3 linked regions of the Caenorhabditis elegans genome follow. The protein of the gene in region 1 purifies or fractionates together with the protein of each later gene. This does not show direct contact. Each region holds a gene or a part of one and is shown on either strand. Other genes may lie near its edges.

The links.
Region 2: the proteins of gtf-2F1 (region 1) and gtf-2F2 fractionate together in Caenorhabditis elegans (co-fractionation; one large-scale study listed by BioGRID). This does not show direct contact.
Region 3: the proteins of gtf-2F1 (region 1) and R11G1.1 fractionate together in Caenorhabditis elegans (co-fractionation; one large-scale study listed by BioGRID). This does not show direct contact.

What each region holds. Positions count from the first base shown.
Region 1 is NC_003280.10:4,299,823-4,305,793, reverse strand, and holds gtf-2F1 (Transcription initiation factor IIF subunit alpha), read right to left. Parts: upstream 4,188-5,971; 5' UTR 4,186-4,187; coding exon 3,399-4,185; intron 2,802-3,398; coding exon 2,729-2,801; intron 2,087-2,728; coding exon 1,663-2,086; intron 800-1,662; coding exon 638-799; 3' UTR 524-637; downstream 1-523. Other genes in the region: nxnr-1 (protein-disulfide reductase), read left to right, coding at 279-435; sco-1 (Thioredoxin domain-containing protein), read right to left, coding at 5,076-5,203, 5,266-5,969.
Region 2 is NC_003283.11:18,992,203-18,998,737, reverse strand, and holds gtf-2F2 (General transcription factor IIF subunit 2), read right to left. Parts: upstream 4,799-6,535; 5' UTR 4,795-4,798; coding exon 4,648-4,794; intron 3,842-4,647; coding exon 3,354-3,841; intron 786-3,353; coding exon 629-785; 3' UTR 538-628; downstream 1-537. Other genes in the region: tgt-2 (Queuine tRNA-ribosyltransferase accessory subunit 2), read right to left, coding at 1-392; Y39B6A.37 (Structural protein), read right to left, coding at 5,271-5,667.
Region 3 is NC_003284.9:3,657,704-3,662,528, reverse strand, and holds the start of R11G1.1 (EGF-like domain-containing protein), read right to left. Parts: upstream 3,038-4,825; coding exon 2,968-3,037; intron 2,923-2,967; coding exon 2,800-2,922; intron 2,756-2,799; coding exon 2,630-2,755; intron 2,367-2,629; coding exon 2,253-2,366; intron 2,085-2,252; coding exon 396-2,084; intron 344-395; coding exon 246-343; intron 199-245; coding exon 42-198; intron 1-41.

The DNA of each region.
Region 1 (5,971 bases):
CTAAAAAATTTGAATTCACCGGTCTCCCGCCGATACAGTGGAGCGCAATTGCACTTCGATCTCAAAAAGCGCGAAATTCAAACTTTTTCAACTATTTTCGCTGGTTTCACCCATATTATGGCACTTTTTATAGTTTTTGTCTATTTTCTAGTGTTTTTTAGTACTTTTTAAAATAGAATCGTTAGGAAATGCTCGAAAATGTCAAAAATCCACAAAAATGGCTTCTCGATGTGCCCAAAATCACAATTTTCTACGATTGAATAATATTTTTTTTCCAGGTCCCTGATGCAAAAATACGAAGTCAAGACAATTCCAGCCATGAGAATTGTAAATGATCAGGGAGAAGTGATTGTTCAGGATGCTCGGACTGAAATTCAGAATAAGGGAGAGAATGTTGAAGGCCTGTGGGCTGAGTGGATGGCTTTGATCAAGTGATTCTTGCATAATTATTTGAATTTTTTTGAAAAATCTATAATTCCTAGCTTTTAGAATATTTTGCACTTAAATATTTCGATAAAATTTTTTTAATCGCGAAACTTTTGGTTCATTTACAGAATTTTGGGCGGGAAAATTTGAATTTAAAATAAAAATGCGAAGGATTGTATAATTTTTAAGAGAAGAAAAAATAGTTAAAAAATTAGGCGATAGTGTTGACAAGTGAGAAGAAGAGTACTTCCTTCTTTCCCTTCAATTGTCGAGATTGATTCGGTTCGATTGCTTTCAGAATTGAAGCCAGTTGGGTTACCATTTCAGATTTGCTCATATTTCCGCATTTTCCGTTCATTTTGTGGAGGAGTTCCTGCAAAAAATGGAATTTTATTATGAGAAAATTTGGATTTTTTCAGATTTCGCTGAAATTTTTGGTACAGGAGCGATTTTTGAATAGGTTTTTCAGCTTTCAATTTTATTTAAATTATAATTTTTTTTAATTGAAAATTTATATTAGAGTTTTCTTGCTTTTTTGTCAAATTTTTAACATTTTTTATGAACAAATGATGCAATTTCTAGCATAATTCATTTTTCTAAAGTTTTTTATTCCGAATTTTGTGAAAAATTAAAAATTTTCTATTTTTTTTAATTAAAAATTTTTAAAAATGCTCATAGGTTAAATTGATTAGATTTAAATTTATTATAAAAAAAAATAGTATTAAATTTTTTGAAAACAAAAAATCTATTTTGTTACCAGTTTTTTGATTTTTAGGTTTTGAAAAATCGAAAAATTTCAATTTGGCTGTTTTTCTTATTTTTAGCATAAAATTGAATTTTTTTCTCATGTGTTTTCTTCTCAATATAAACCAAAAAATTGATTTTTTTTTAATTTTTAATTTTTCTCCGAAAAATCGAAATTTTCGCGGAAAATAACTTTCTTGGTATTTTCTGCATTAACTTATATATTTTTCTGTTTTTTTCGTTCGAAAAAATTATACCTATATTTTAAATATTTTTAAAGTTTTCGTGCAATTTTCTCAAAAATTGAATTTCCTTCTTACAATTATCACAAGTTTCATAATTTTAATTTTAAAAATAAATAAAAAGTTTATTATCCTTTTTTTGTTAACTTTTTAAACATTTTTTTTTTCGTTTTTTTGTTGTTTTTTTTATCCTGAGAAAATCGATTTTTTTTTCTGAAATTTTTCCTATTTTTCGAATTTTCCAATTCACCTTCGTTGTATGCGGTTTACGACGCAAATATCTGCGAACAGTTTCCTCATTGAGTCCTTCCTCAAATTTAACAGCCGGTTTCGCTTTTTTCGCATCACTCGGACCAAGATTATCCATTTTAAGATCAGAATCTTCAGTTGGTGGACGTTTTTTTCCGGTTCCTCCCGAGCCGCCTTCTCCATCCTTGTTAGCCTTCATAAAAACTACAGAATCGAGTTTTTCAGTGTCGGAAACATCAGAATCTGTTCCAGATGAATCACGTTCTTCAATATCATTTCCTTTTTTCTTATCACCATATGGTTTCATTAATTTCTTCGTTAAATCATCTTCAGATTCACTGCTATCAGATTCACGTGCTCCTTCTTCTTCAGCAACTCCGACTAGTTGTTTCTCGATTTTTTCGTCTGATGGAACTTGTTCACGGCTGAAAATGGGTAATTCATTGATTTTTCAATTTTTTTTGAAGGGAAAATCGAAAAATTAATTTTTTTTTCGATTTATTACATTTTTTTCAGAGAAAAACGAAAAATGGAAAAGATTTTCAATTTTTCAAATTTTTTTTCAGAAAATTCGGACTTTTTTTTAGTTTTCAATTTTACTAAGAAAATTGGAAAATAACAATTTTTAATTAGAAAATGGAAATTTATTATCGATTTTCTAGAAAAAAAACCGAAAAACTTCGATTTTTTAAATTTTTCCCAGCGAAAATCGAAAATATTCTATTTTATAATTTTTTCAGAAAAAAAAAAATCAAACATCGAAAATGTTTGATTTTTTTCGGTATTTTAAATTTTTTCCCAATTTTTCCGACTAATTAGTAAATTTTTTTATTTTTATTTTTGCAATTATATTTTGTTTAAATATTTTTTTTCATAATAAATCGAAAAATAAATTTTTTCCCGATTTTTTTATTTTTTAGAATAAGAATCGCAAAACGAATTTTTTAAAAAGAGAAATTCGAAATTTTTTAATTTTTTTCAGAAAATCAAAAACGAATTTTTAAAAGATTTGTTATTTTTTCTTTTCCAAAATAAAATTAAAAATTTTTTCAAAAAAAGAAACCAACTCAGAATCAGTTCCACTGTCAGAAATGTAGTCGTACTCGCGGCCCTCGTCCTCTCCGTCCGATGACTCGTATTCTTAAAATTTTTTTTTTTTGTAAAATGAGAAACCATAATCTTGAACATTTTCTATTTTTCTGAAATCAAAAATCTATATTTTTTCGTTTAAAATGCCGGAAATGTGTGAAAATTTTGATTTTTCCTCAAAAAAAAAAGATAGAAAAACGATTTTTTTCTGAAAAACTAGAAAATTTTCATATTTTCCGATACTTCAAACAAAAAAATCCGAAATTTTTTATTTATTTTCGATATTAATGGAAAAATCCATTTTTTTACGAAATGTCGAATTTTTGTTTCAATTTTCGTTAAGTTTTCGATTTTTCACATTTTAAACAAACAAAAAATTAGATTTTTCAAAATTTCTTTTTTTTTGTTGAATTTTCGGAAAATCGGTTTTTTCAAAAAAAAAACAGCAAAAATTCGATTTTTTTGAAGTATCGGAAAAATTAATGGCGAATTTTTTTTTCAATTTGTGTTTAATTTTTCGATTTTCTTTGAAAAGGTCGAAAAAATTCCTATTTTTCGGCATTTCAAACAAAAATCGATGTTTTTAATCGGAATTTTTCCGAATTATTCCTTCGATATTTCAAAAAATCCGCCAGAGCTATTACTCACTAGCAACATCATCCTTATCCTCAACCCTCTGCCTCTTCTCTTTCGCCGGTTTCGCATTCTTCTTCTTCTTTTTCTTATTCTTCGCCTTTTTTCCATCATCACCACCCTCTCCCTCATCATCACCATCCGAATCATCAGAGCTCGCCTCATCCTTAATTTTCAGTAGACGTTTCTGCTGCTCTGTCATTTCCGATTCATCCGTCGCACTCAATTGGTTCTGTATCGCTGCTTTCAAAGCGAATTGATTCATAACTTTATATCTCTGAGAGAATTGCTCCTCGGCTTGATCAATATCAAGAGTTTTATGAGTAATCGCTGGCAGGAATTTATGCCATTCATCGACTTTATAAGCTTTAAACTCAGAAGATTGATTTGGTTTCAGAAAAACCCAATAATCAGCATGCTCATTTGCACCACCTTCTCGAATTCCTCTCATTTGCCTCTGCCGTCCTTCTGGCTCAGTGAATGCCATCTTCCATGGCTGATTATCAAGTCGATATTTTTTTGATTGTCTTCCATATTTCTTTCGGCGAGCTTCTTCCCTCGCAGCTTTTCCATACTCGGATCCTTCTCCGTATTCTTGAACTGTCTGTGTTGATAGAATTACACGTTGATTATCCTCTCTCTCCATTGTAACACCACTGTCTATTGTCCATTTTGATGTGTCCACTTTGTCCATTCCGTTGAACATCATTACAGAGTAACGGATATCATCGCTTCGTTTTGCAACGCGGACACTGAACTCGCTTTGAACTCCTTCTGGTTTGACAGGTTTCAGGCCAGACATTTCTGGAAATAATTTGGGTTAAAAATGGGATGTTTTACGCATTAAAATAAGAAAAAATCCTGAAAAAACTGAATTCTTTCGAGGTAAATTTCAAAAAAGTCTAAAATTCAAGAAAACCACAAATTCCCTCGGAATTTGGCTAAAATTGAGAAATCACGGTTTTTGAAGTTTTTATTTGAATTTTTTTTCATTTGCGATTATTTTTCGTGCTTTTTTTTGTGGATTTCCTGAATTTAAGACTTTTGTAAATATTTTTCTTTAAAAAATTGTCTCAGAAAAGCCAAATTCCGCTAAATTTTCGAATTTTTCATTTTGCTCGTCCAAAAACGGTCTGAATGGTTTTTTTTACAGAGTATCCTATAATTGCATAATCTTATCGTTTTTCTTGTAGTGAGGAGCTAAATATTTGCAAAAATCGGTGAAAAATAGCTCATTTCAGCTAAAATCTTATACTTTCTCAATTTATTTGGTCAGAAATTGATTTTTATTCCAATTTTTCCATTAATTGCAAATTTGATCGTTTATTCCATTTTTTGAACCATAAACGCAAAAAAAGTATCAAAAAATCCGTAAAATATCAGAGAAAATTGATTAAAAACTGGTAAAATTCGAGATTTTAGCTTTTTTTTCGCAATTTTTGAAAATCTCTACGAGAAATTAGGTTTTTCTGGCATTTTGGAGCAAAAATGGTGAGGAAATTCAATCGTAAAAGGTATTAAAGCAATCGAACGCCTTGAAAATCAAAAAAAAAAGTTCAATAAAATTAAGCTGAGCAATGGTTTTCTTTAAATAAACAAAAAAAATCTAACCGAGCTGAAAATTACAACAAAAAGATGGAAGATAGCTACCTAAACAGAAAAAAAAACAAAAAAAAATACACGTAAAAAAATCTAGAACAAATTCAATAACGATTTCCGGTTCTGGGCTTGGTATTTGAGAACTTTCATTTCAATAACGTTGGCGATCTCCTCAGCTTTTCGATTTTGTCCGTAATAATCGTGGAATTGGCCAGAGGGGTCTGGAAAATTAAATAATTTGAGTTTTTATCCAATTTTTATACTAAAAATCTAAAAATCTCACCAATTAGGTACATAATAACCGTGTGATCTACAATATAATCATCTTCTTGCTTATTTGTCCTGGGTCCCTGGCTATGATATACTCTGAACGTTTTCGCAACTTTATTAACTTGCTCTGTGGTTCCAGTGAATCCACGTAGCTTGTTGGAGAACTCGGAGCAATATTCTTTCACTCGAGCAACAGAATCTCGCTCAGGATCTACTGAAATGAATACGGGAACGATCGGCGTCGCGTCCTTCTTTGCCTCGATAATTTCCACGACTTTCACCATTTTCTCAATCTCATCAGGGCAAATATCCGGGCAATTTGTGAATCCAAAGTACATCAGAAGCCAATTTCCACGTAGTTCCTGAGATCCTTCCATTTTCCCGTCTGTATTCATCAATTCCCATTCTCCACCGATTCTCGCTTTTCCTGCCGTCTGTTTTCGGTGTTTTTCCCTCTCATCCAGACGGATTTTCTTGATGTAAAATAGAGCGGCAAGGCATGTTCCGCCGACTGCAAATGTTCCAAGAACGGTTTTCCAGTTGAAAATGCTGCTCCGCTGAAAGGCTTCTTGCTCGGCTTGTTTTCGGAAATTCATGAAATTCTTGTCGACCGGCGGTTCTTTCGGGCTGCTCGTCGTCTCGGTCTCCGTGATTCCAGTTTTCAGAATTTCGTTCAACTTCTTCAAATCCTTCTGCAAATCCGTCTCCAGGTCGTCACT
Region 2 (6,535 bases), on another chromosome or scaffold:
ATTTTAACATCCAACGAAACTTTTCCGTTTGCCGTCCAAATCGCGACGGATTTCGAGTCATTATACCCTCCGGGAAGCTTTCCAAGCGGGTCAAACGGTGTCAGGTGAACCGCCGCGCCTGCAGGCATCCCACAAAATTTCGCAGCGCCTTTTCCGAATTTCTCGATAATTTTCGCGTTTGACACCAGCGTTGGGAGCGTCATTTGAAAAATGTGGGTTTGTTCGAGTTTCAGCTGATTCTCAGCAACTTCCCATGTCAGGTGGGGAATATGTCCGGCTCGTAGGTAGGTTTGAAAGGATGGGGTCTGGTGGTTAACCTCCACGGAGCCCCATGTGTCGATTTTGCCCAAGCGGCCCAGAAGCGTCTTTTTTTCGATTTGAAATTTGACCATTCTGAAAAAAAAAGAAGTAAAAAATCAATTTTTTTTTCCTATTTTTCTCGAAAAAAAACGAAAAAAAATCTGATAATAAATAGAAAACTGGGCTAAATAACCCAAAATCAACGAAGAAATCCAAAAAAAAAAAAATTCAAAAATCCCCAATATTCACAAGTGTTCATCATGTTTTTAAAAAAGAAGAGATGTATAGTAAATAAATAATAATAATAATGTCCAAAAAAAAGTTGGAATTATTCCGATTGTGCGTTGACTTTGTAGTTACAGTATTCCGGTTTCAGGCACCACAGAGACTTGTGCGGTGGAGCAGTATTGTAGACGGCAATCTCTTGGAGCACTTCTTTGACGTAGCTGACCGGTTGTTGAAGGAGTTGCTGAAGATCTTGAAGTCTGAAATGCGAGAAATTGTAGTTTTTGTAGTCTAAGCAGCGGCCAGCCAAAAAATCCGAAATTTCATCGAAAATGCACAGAATTCTAAGAAGTTAGAAATTTTGGAGGAAACTAGTGTGTTTCTCGTTAAAAATTCCAAAAAATACACTAGAAATGTGTGATTTTTCATTATTTTCGCATATTTCGGCTTGAAAATCGGAAATTTCTAGCGAAAATGTGCGATTTTTGAAAAAACTTTGGAAATTTTGGCAAAAAAACGAGGTTTCATGTAGTTAGCAGCGCCCAAAAACTTGTAGTTTGTAGTCTAAGCAGCGCCCAAAACGTTGAAATGCAGTTTTTAATCGATTGATACCAAAATAACACCCAATTTTTACAGTTTTTTGTGTGTAGAATTTCCTAAAAAAACTCAACGAAAGGTGCAAAATACGTGGAATTTCGTCAATTTTTGCCTATTTTTTTCAGTTTTTCTTGGGAAAATCTGTAAAAATCCCTTTAAAAATGAGTAAAACGTAAAATTTTGACACTTTTTGAATGAAAATATAGATTTTCTTCCATTTTTAATTGAAAAATCGCCCAAAATTGCAAAAAATTCGGATCAGCAGCGCCCAAAACTTGTAGTTTGTAGTCTAAGCAGCGCCCAAAATGGAATTAGCAGCGCCCAAACTTGTAGTTTGTAGTCTAAGCAGCGCCCAAAATGTAAAAATTCGGATCTTGAACCGATTTTAACCGATTTCCGCCAATTTTTAATATTTTTCGGTGAGATTTTGTTTAAAAATCGGTGTTTTCTGCAGTTTTTTTTGGTGAAAAACCATGAACCTTCAAAAATGTAGATTTTTACTCATTTTTTCAACAGAAATTCAAATTCTCGGCATCAAAATTCATTGGCAGCGCCCAAAACTTGTAGTTTGTAGCTTTAGCAGTGCCCAAAATCTTCGAATTCAGATTTTATCCGATTTTTGCCATTTTTTTGTGGATTTCTGGCAAAATTTACTTTAAAAATCGGTTTCTATTCGAATTTCCAGAATTTTTACCAGTTTTTAATGAAATAAACTGTAGTTTTTGTTGTCTAAGCAGCGCCCAAAAATTCGTTATCAGCTCAAAATACTGCAAATTTCCAGTAGTTTTTTGTGGGAAAACCACATTAAAGGTGGTGTAGTCGACTTTTTTAATCGCCTTATTAGACTCAAAATTGTCTAAAAACACCGAATTTCATAATGAAACTTCTTGAAAACTTTTCAGAAAAGAGTTATGACGGCTCAAAAAATGGTCTAAAATTAGTTAAAATCGGAAATTTGACTTGTCAAGCGGCTCAAAACTATTTGTTTTTGAAATCACCGTCAAATTTTAAGTTCACAAGTTGATTATCTTGCGTTTTGAACTTGATTAAGGTATTTAAAAATCGATAGACGGCGAGTTTGGGTTTGAAAAAATTAAAAATCTCGCCGTCTATCGATTTTTAAATACCTTAATCAAGTTCAAAACGCAAGATGATCAACTTGTAAACTTAAAATTTGACGGTGATTTCAAAAAAAAATAGTTTTGAGCCGCTTGACAAGTCAAATTTCCGATTTTAACGAATTTTAGACCATTTTTTGAGCCGTCATAACTCTTTTCTGAAAAGATTTCAAGAAGTTTCATTATGAAATTCGGTGTTTTTAGACAATTTTGAGTCTAATAAGGCGATAAAAATAATTCGACTACACCATTATTAAAACTTTCAAAAAATTCACTGCAACTTTTTCCTCACGAGGGACGAGGAAAAGTGGTTTCTAGGCCATGGCCGAGGGGCCGACAAGTTTCAGCGGCCATTTATCTTGCTTTGTTTTCCGCCTGTTTTCTTTCGTTTTTCACAGCCTTTTCCCGTTTTTTCTTAATAAAACTGATAAATAAATACTTTTTGCAGATGCTAAAACAATTTCCAAGTAAAAAAATTATGTATTCAGTCGGCAAGCAGTGGTGAAAATGGTCAATGTAAAATGATGGATTACGGGAATACAAAACCTAAACTTTTTCTGAAACATGATACATATGATGCTTAGATGCTGAAATTACCTGATTTTCATAACGAAACCGCTGAAAAAGTTTTAGGGTTTTCAAAATTCAACTTTTTTGGTGAAAAAGTCGAGATTTTCGCACAAAAAGTTGAATTTTGGAAACCTCAAAACTTTTTCAGCGGTCTCGTTATGAAAATCAGGTAGCTTCAGCATCTAAGCAGCATATGTATAATGTTTAAGAAAAAGTTTAGGTTTTGTATTCCCGTAATCCATCATATTACAATGCCCACTTTCACCGCTGCTTGCCCACTGAATACACTTTTTTTTACTTGGAAATCGTTTTGGCATCTGCAAAAAATATTTATTTATCAGTTTTATTAAGAAAAAACGAAAAAAATCGATGAAAAACGAAAGAAAACAGGCGGAAAACAAAGCAAGATAAATGGCCGCTGAAATTTGTCTTCCCCTCGGCCATGGCCTAGAAACCACTTTTCCTCGTCCCTCGTGAGGAAAAAGTTGCAGTGAAAAAGGCCAAAACAACACAAATTTTCCGTAGTTTTCTCGAGTATTTTACCTATAAAAACTATGCTTCTCAAAAGCTTTGAAAAGAGCTCCACGGAGCACATCTCTATCAGCTCGATAAGTTTTAGCTCCATCCTTCTTCTGTTTGCTCTTAATCATATCTTCAGCATGTACAGACACGGGCTTAAACTTCACAGCCGCTTTTTCAATCATTTTAACCGTTTTCTTTGGTTGAGTATTTTTCACAATATGTGCCAACTTCATTTTCATATATTTCGACGTGGCCGGTGGCCGACATTCCGCTTTTTTGATAATTCGTCCCTCAATTGCCAGTTTTCCAGTTTTGATTGGAGCATCTGCACCGAGTCCCTGCTTATCTTCGGATAAAACGCTCATTGTTTGAGATTTGACGTCATGAAGAATAAATGAGTATTCTGTTGGAATTTCCGAGGCTTCTGGTTGGGTTACTGTAGATGATGAGCCCTCTGTGGGCTCTTTTGGTTTGGGATGAATGAGACCTTTGGCGGTGTGAAGCTCGACCTGAAATTTAAATTTTTAAACCAAAAATTCAGTTTTCGGAGAAAAATGTCCTAATTTAAGCATTTTTCCCGTGAAAAAACTCTAAAAATGAGCATTTTTCACTGTAAAACTAGCGTTTTAACTTGAAAAATCGATTTTCAACCGAAAAACAATTAATTCCACTGAAAATTTCATTGAAAAATCGATTTTCTAAGCTTCTGGTGTATTTTTTTTTTCAATTTTTTCAGAAAATTTCATTTTTCGGTGAGAAATTCAGGCTTTTTTGATCAAAATTGAATTTTTAGCAGAAAATTTCAAATTTTGAGTTTAAAAAAGCAGTTAAAATTTAATTTTCTTAAAATAATTTCGAATTTTTCCGCATTTTCAGTAGAATTTCGAATTTCTTGGTTCTTCTTCAGTGCATTTTTATGTAAAACACAGAAAAATTGGTTAAATGTCAAATTTTCAGTGGAATTATCCAGTTTTTCCGGCAAAAAATCGATTTTTGTCAATTTTTGAGACAAAAATTCAGATTTTCGAGGAAAAATGTCATTAAATTGAAAATTAAATGCCGTTTTCCACATTTTTCAGATTTTTTTCATTTGAAAACCTGAGGTATTTTTCTGTCCAAAAAACGACGGTTCTACCTTATTTTTGAATTTTTTCCCAAATTTCATATCTTTTATGATTTAATCGATGTTTTTTCCTTTGAAAATCACATTTTTGACCAGAATTTCAGATTTTTCCGATTTTCCACACTATTTTTGGGCCAAAAACTTCATTTTCAGCATTTTCAACAGGATTTTCAATATTTTTTCCAATTTTACCTGCGCTCCAATCTGCAATTTTCCAACAACATTTCCCTCGTTGGCATCCCAGAGCTCTGACAAATATCTGGGCACTTTTACAAGCCAAATGCTCCGTTTTGCCAGCTCACAGTCGACGTCATTCGAATATCGCTTCGTTGGGCTCATTTTCCTGGAGAATCGAGAGTTTTACAGGGGAAAATAGGTGGAAAAGCGATGAAATCGAGGAAGAAATGAAAGAATTGAGAAAAAATCGATAAATTTGCAAAAAAAAAATCAATTAATTTTTAAAAAAAATCGATAAATTTTCAGAAAAATCGATAAACTTCCAGAAAACTCGATAAATTTGCAGAAAAATCGATAAATTTGCAGAAAAATCAATTAAATGAGAGAAAAATCGATAAAGTTCCAGAAAAGTCAATAAAATTGCAGAAAATTCGACAAATTTCCAGAAAATCGATAAATTTGCAGAAAAATCGATAAATTTGCAGAAAAATCGATAGCTTCGAGGAAAAAACAATAAAATCCTGAAAAATAAAGCGAAAATCAATATTTCTCGGGCTAAAAACCCTCAATTTTTAACAAAAATTTCAGCAAAAACCCGGCAAACAAGTGATTTTTATTGGATTTTCAGCACACAGTTTTCAGACTCGTTGTCTAACAAATTCCAATATTTTCGAATCGCTGACACCCTCCCAGCCGGGCGGTGTAGGCAACTGAAAATTCGCCATTGCAGCGGATATCTGTGCCAATTTGTCACCATCAAGCGGTATTGTCATCGATTTTTCCTCGGAAATTTCCAGTTTTTCCACATCATTTTTTCTCACAAAATCATCCGGAGATATCACGAAATTGCACCATAATCCAGAGCTCGTGGTGACGTCATCAAAGTTATCGGTGGTGATGACGTCATCCTCATCTTCTGACGTGGTGGCACATGGAACATTTCCATCACCAATGATTTGATAACCTTGTGGAAATTCATCGTCGGTTTCAGAGCATTTTGTGGTGGTGGTGGCTACTCCGAAGCGCTGTGTTGTGCTGAAAATTTTAATTTTGGGAATTTTTAACCGAAAAATGCAGAATTTCCGCATAATTTTGAGCTAAAATTTGGAAATTTCGGTCTAAAATCTTATTTATCAAGCATTTTAGTGTAAATTTCATTCTTTTTTTTCGCACTTCTTAAGCTGAAAACCCCGGATTTTTGTCGGAAAACGGAATTTTTGGAGCAAAATGTCCCGATTGCTAGTGTTTTTTCTGAAATTTATCGATTTTTCGTATATTTTTGAGCTCAAATTTCAATGAGAAAATGTCTTTTTAAGATCTTTTTATGGGATTTCATAGATTTCAGTGCGAAAATTGCAATTTTTGAGGAGAAAATTGGAGATTTTCAGTTTTCGGCGATACTTTTCAGAAAAAAAAACTGATTTTTCCCTTGAGCAGCGCCCAAAAGTTGTAGTTTGTAGTTTAGCAGCGCCCAAAATTGAATTAGCAGCGCCCAAAACTTGTAGTTTGTAGTGTTAGCAGCGCCCAAAACTTGTAGTTTGTAGTTTAGCAGCGCCCAAAACTTGTAGTTTGTAGTCTAAGCAGCGCCCAAAATTGAATTAGCAGCGCCCAAAACTTGTAGTTTGTAGTCTAAGCAGCGCCCAAAATTGAATTAGCAGCGCCCAAAACTTGTAGTTTGTAGTCTAAGCAGCGCCCAAAATTGAATTAGCAGCGCCCAAAAGTTGTAGTTTGTAGTGTTAGCAGCGCCCAAAACTTGTAGTTTGTAGTCTAAGCAGCGCCCAAAATTGAATTAGCAGCGCCCAAAACTTGTAGTTTGTAGTCTAAGCAGCGCCCAAAAGTTGTAGTTTGTAGTTTAGCAGCGCCCAAAATTTGTAGTTTGTAGTGTTAGCAGCGCCCAAAACTT
Region 3 (4,825 bases), on another chromosome or scaffold:
AATAATTTACATGATATGGTTTATAAGCTGTGCACACTCACCTTCTGCAGTCAGATTCAAGTTTCCAGGCTCCCCGAATGATCTTGTCGTTAACAATCGATCGATCTCTTGCAAAGTGCAGTCACTACATTGAACAATAGCAACTAATGCAGAATCATGTTCCGCCGAACGAATGCACGATTTATAAGATTGACCAATCTGCAAAAACTTCCAATATGAAAAATAATTGATACCCACAAATCTACCTTTTGATGTAAAATCCGCTGTTTTTGCTCAAGCGATGCCTTATCTGTATTACAAACTGTGTTAACCTTCACTTTGACAACCACCAATGAAAGAGTTTCTGAAATATTTTCAAGCAAAATTAATTAAAGCGATACAATTTTGAACAATACCTTCACATTGCCCGTTCCCAGTGTTTTTGAATTGGCCATTTGGACAATCACAAATTACCGATCCACCAGAATCAGACATTCTTCGGAGGCAGTCATCAACCTGTGGGTCACCTGTCTTCACTGTTGTTGTTGGAACACTTGAAGTCGATACCGATTCGAAGGTTGAACTGTTTTCGGTGACAATCGTTGAAGTACCACTAGATGGTGTTGGAGTCGTTTTCACTGTTGGACCAATGTGTATGACTTTATCTGATCCTGGTACAATTTGTCCTTCATGTTCTCCCAAATTTGTTTCATTTTCAATCTTCGTCGACTCATTATTATCGATTTCTTCAACAACCCCGTTTGGTCCAACATGAATAATTTTTGTTCGAGATGTAGCCTTCAAAGTGGTGGTTTTCGGTGTAAGATTTCTGTCTATCTGAGTTGTCTGAGCATTGTTTGTAGAAGGCGTCAGCAATGTTTTTTCTTCAATGAAACCTTCTGGAACTTTCGAAGGATGGGTAATATGGCTACCAGGTGTTGTGAAACCCCCTCCCGGTATTTCGAAACCAGAGTGAGGTGGTACTTCCGTTTGCACATACTTCTCAATTTCGGCTTGTGGGATCAGTGTTGGTAATGCACCATGAGGAGGATTTTGAGTTACGAAAGGTCTATGGGGTGACTGGGGAGTTGTGAAAAAACTTGGAATGGAGAGTGGTCTTGGTGTTGCGAAAGTTGGAAGAATGCGACCAGGAATTAATGGTATTAACGTGTCGGTACCGGATTTTTGTTCATCCGGTATTGTAACACCAGGATAAGGTTTTGTTTTTTCAGATTCCCATGGTCGGGTAACTGGGCGGAGGTCTACAGGTGGTACATTAGGAAACATGTCAAAAGGTCCTGGAGTTGTCATTGGAACACTGGGCCTAGTGAGCATGTCAAATGGATTCATTCCTGGTGGTTGCGATATTCCATCACCCGTGCCTCCTCCATACTCAAACTCTGATGGTAGATCTGGTTTTCTTGAAGTGACCGGTCGGCTGATTATAATTCCCGGTTTTATTGGTGGAATCTTTTCCGAACCCTCTTCTATAGTTGGATACGTAATCGGCGGAAGTGGGCCTTGATGGTGTGGGTCCGGTGTGGTAGTCACAATTGGAATTGGCCAGTTGTTTAGAGGTGAGGGCGCAGTGATGGGTGGCAAGTCTGGCCGTCCAGGAAAAATGAGCGGAGCCTGAGGAAACTGCGTCTGGCTAATTGATGGAATTGTTATAAGGCGAAATGTGTGAGATTGAGTGACAGCTTCTGTTGGAGGTACAGGTGTTGATGAATGTGTTGGAAAGAAGTCTCCTATTGGCTCATTTGGTTTGTGGAAGCCAGTTACTCGTGATATTTCGACACCGGATGGTTCAGGGAAGAAATCCCCAAGTTTTGATTCTTCACTTGGAAATACTGGGAAGTTACTCAACGGTGGTTTTGTATTTCCCAGCAGAGGAGATGTAATAAACGGATATTTTGGAGTAGTATAGTCTATCACAGGATTAGATGGCAAGGTGACGGTAGATGGTTTCGAGCACATTGAGCAACCTTCCACGTAGAGAGACGGGTGATCTTCCGGTGGTGGTGGTACTGGTTTTGGGAGATAGAGTCCGGATTGATTTCTGGCACATCTATAGGCGTGTTCAAGAGGCATCACATAGTTTTCGTCTGGAAAAACAAATTCTGATTTTGAACTCTCCAAATTTCCAGTTTAATCCACACAAGAATATTTCTTCAAACAATATTACAAACGTTAGTTCCAGAGAATAACACTACATACTATTGCGATCAAAAATTGTTTTTATCAATTTGCCAATTTTTTAAAAGTAAAAATACCTTCATCGCTGCCATCGTTACAATCCTTCTTCCCGTCTAACAACCATTCCCACAAAACACACTCTCCGTAACCTTTGCACGGAAATGACGTTTCATCCGCACATAGTTTTTCTTCTGAAAATTTAAAATTTCACTAACTTATTCCCGTATGTTTTTTCTCCCAACTATTGAGTATTAGCTGCAGACAAATGACAAAAATTCAGACAAAATAAAAATATTCTGAATTTTTAAATAATTGACATGCTCTATTAAAAACTGCCCAAAAAAGTTGGCAAACGAAATTCCATGGCAGTTTTCAATTGTTTAGCAGGAAGTTACTCCCTTCAAATGTCTAATATACTAATCGAGATTATTAGGTAAACCTAAAATGAACTCACTTGACGTAGAACACCATGGAAGTTGTTTTGATGAACCGTCACATTTAGGATAAACAATACATGGAAGTGCATCTTTGTAATCTGCACAATAAACTGGACCACAACTAACTTGACCGATGAAACACCCTAAACGTGAATTACCTTAAAATCATATTGCTTCATGTACTTACATTCATCGCTACCATCCATACAATCAGGTTTTCCATCTCGAAATTGAGAAATTGGAACACACTGACCTAACCCGCAATCATAGTCACCCAACATACAACGTCCTGGTACCCTCATTCGAATTGCTGAAAATTGGGACATGAAATTGAATTTTCTGAAGCTTCACCTACCATCATATGATAAAAACTGCGAAGAAGCAAAAATTGGAAAGACGACCAAATATAGACAGACGGTCAGCATGGAAAGACTGGAACTGGTTACATGTGTACTCTTGAGCAGACAACATCAGAATGTCTCACTCATCCAATTATGTTGATCTTTTCAATTGGGATCTGTAAGCGTTTGAAATTTTTCGAAACCTTTTTAAAATTTGCAGAAAAAAAATAAAATTTTTAACATCTCAAAAATTATTCGGATAAATATATATACTGGCATGATTGGGAGGCGGGTAATACGACAGGAAAAGTATAAGGAGCGATTAAAGTGCACATTGGAACAATTGGTTAGCAGTGTCCATTACATGAGCAATAATAGCTCTTTGGAATGCGTCAGTAACTATAGTCGGTGAGTTGAAACAAGAAAACACACGAAGATAGGCTGCGGGACAAGAAAAGAAAGCGAGCGCAACCTCCATTTCCGATCATTTTCCATCAATCTTGCTGAGTTCTTTCAAGTAAAGAACAAGTTTCGGGAATGAGTATAATTTTTTTTGGAAGAATGTAGATGGTATAAAAATAACTTTTAGTTGTTTTTACATTTCAAGGTGGAGCCAGTGGGGAAATTGTTGAAAACCACTCCGATCGTGCCAAAATGATCAAATATCATATTTAAAATTTTCAAACGTGTTTTGAATGCTTTCTTATAAAAACATTGTTTCAAAAGTGGTAATTACTTATTTTTGCAATGTTCTTGAAAGCGGTCGGAAAAAAATGTATCTTTGAAAATGTATTATCTAGTTATGTTTCAAGAATTGTAGGGATTCAAACATGCAGCAAAGCTATAGTTTTCTCAAAAAGTGGCATAAACTCAGTAATTGATAATAAAAAACAATGGTACAAAGTTATTAAAGTTTAATTAAACGCAAATAAATATCAAATTGTTAAATAATTGTAAAATCCCAATCTGACTATGAGAAGAGGTCAATTATGAACCATACAATATGAAATGCGGTAAATTTTATAAATTTTTTAATTTTTTAACAAGGAAAATATTTCAGAGGAGCTTTATAAACCAGAAAAAAAATTGAAAAATGAACAAATATACCTCTATTTTTGATAATTAGCCATTAACAATTCTTGATTAATTAAGAGAAAGTAATTTTTAAATGACCGTATTTTAAAGAAGTGATAGGGAGTTGAAAAAAAATTTAGTGAAGTGGTAAATACAGTACATATATTTTACGAACTTCCTAAATGGATGGACAAAGTAGAAATATCCAGAAATAGAGAGCTCAAACTATACTAAGAAAAAAATGAGCGCAAGGTCATTGTACTTGAAACAAACTATTAGTCAACACCAACAAAGAAACCATCTGAGCATGATTAACAAAGGAAAGATAACACATATGTGGTATTCGGCAAAAAAAGTATAGTTTTTGGTAAGTGGGCAGCAAAAGAATTGATGACCGCACGGGCGCTTGCCTTTCCTCCCACAGAGGTGCGCCTTTTATGCTCTTCCGTTTTGTGGTGGACCTTGCTTCTGACCACTCAGTCTACCTCCAATAACTCACTTGACCTACTCTTAAAACTTGCTTCATCTTTTTTTGCTACGTAACATTTAATAAATTACGTCAGTGAGCTATAAGAAATCAGTTTTCAGATCCAATAAATCTTATGACGGAGTTTTGTGCAGTTGTATTGCAACACTGGTTGACAAAAAGTATAGTCCGACATGAAAACTCAAAAAATGGCGATTCAAAAACTTAGCAACTTCCGGAGCAAGTTTGCATGCACACATATACATGAAATATTTTAAGAGAGTATAAAGTCTGAGTGGAAAGGTTTTTCTTACGGGGGTCGTGACAGGAAA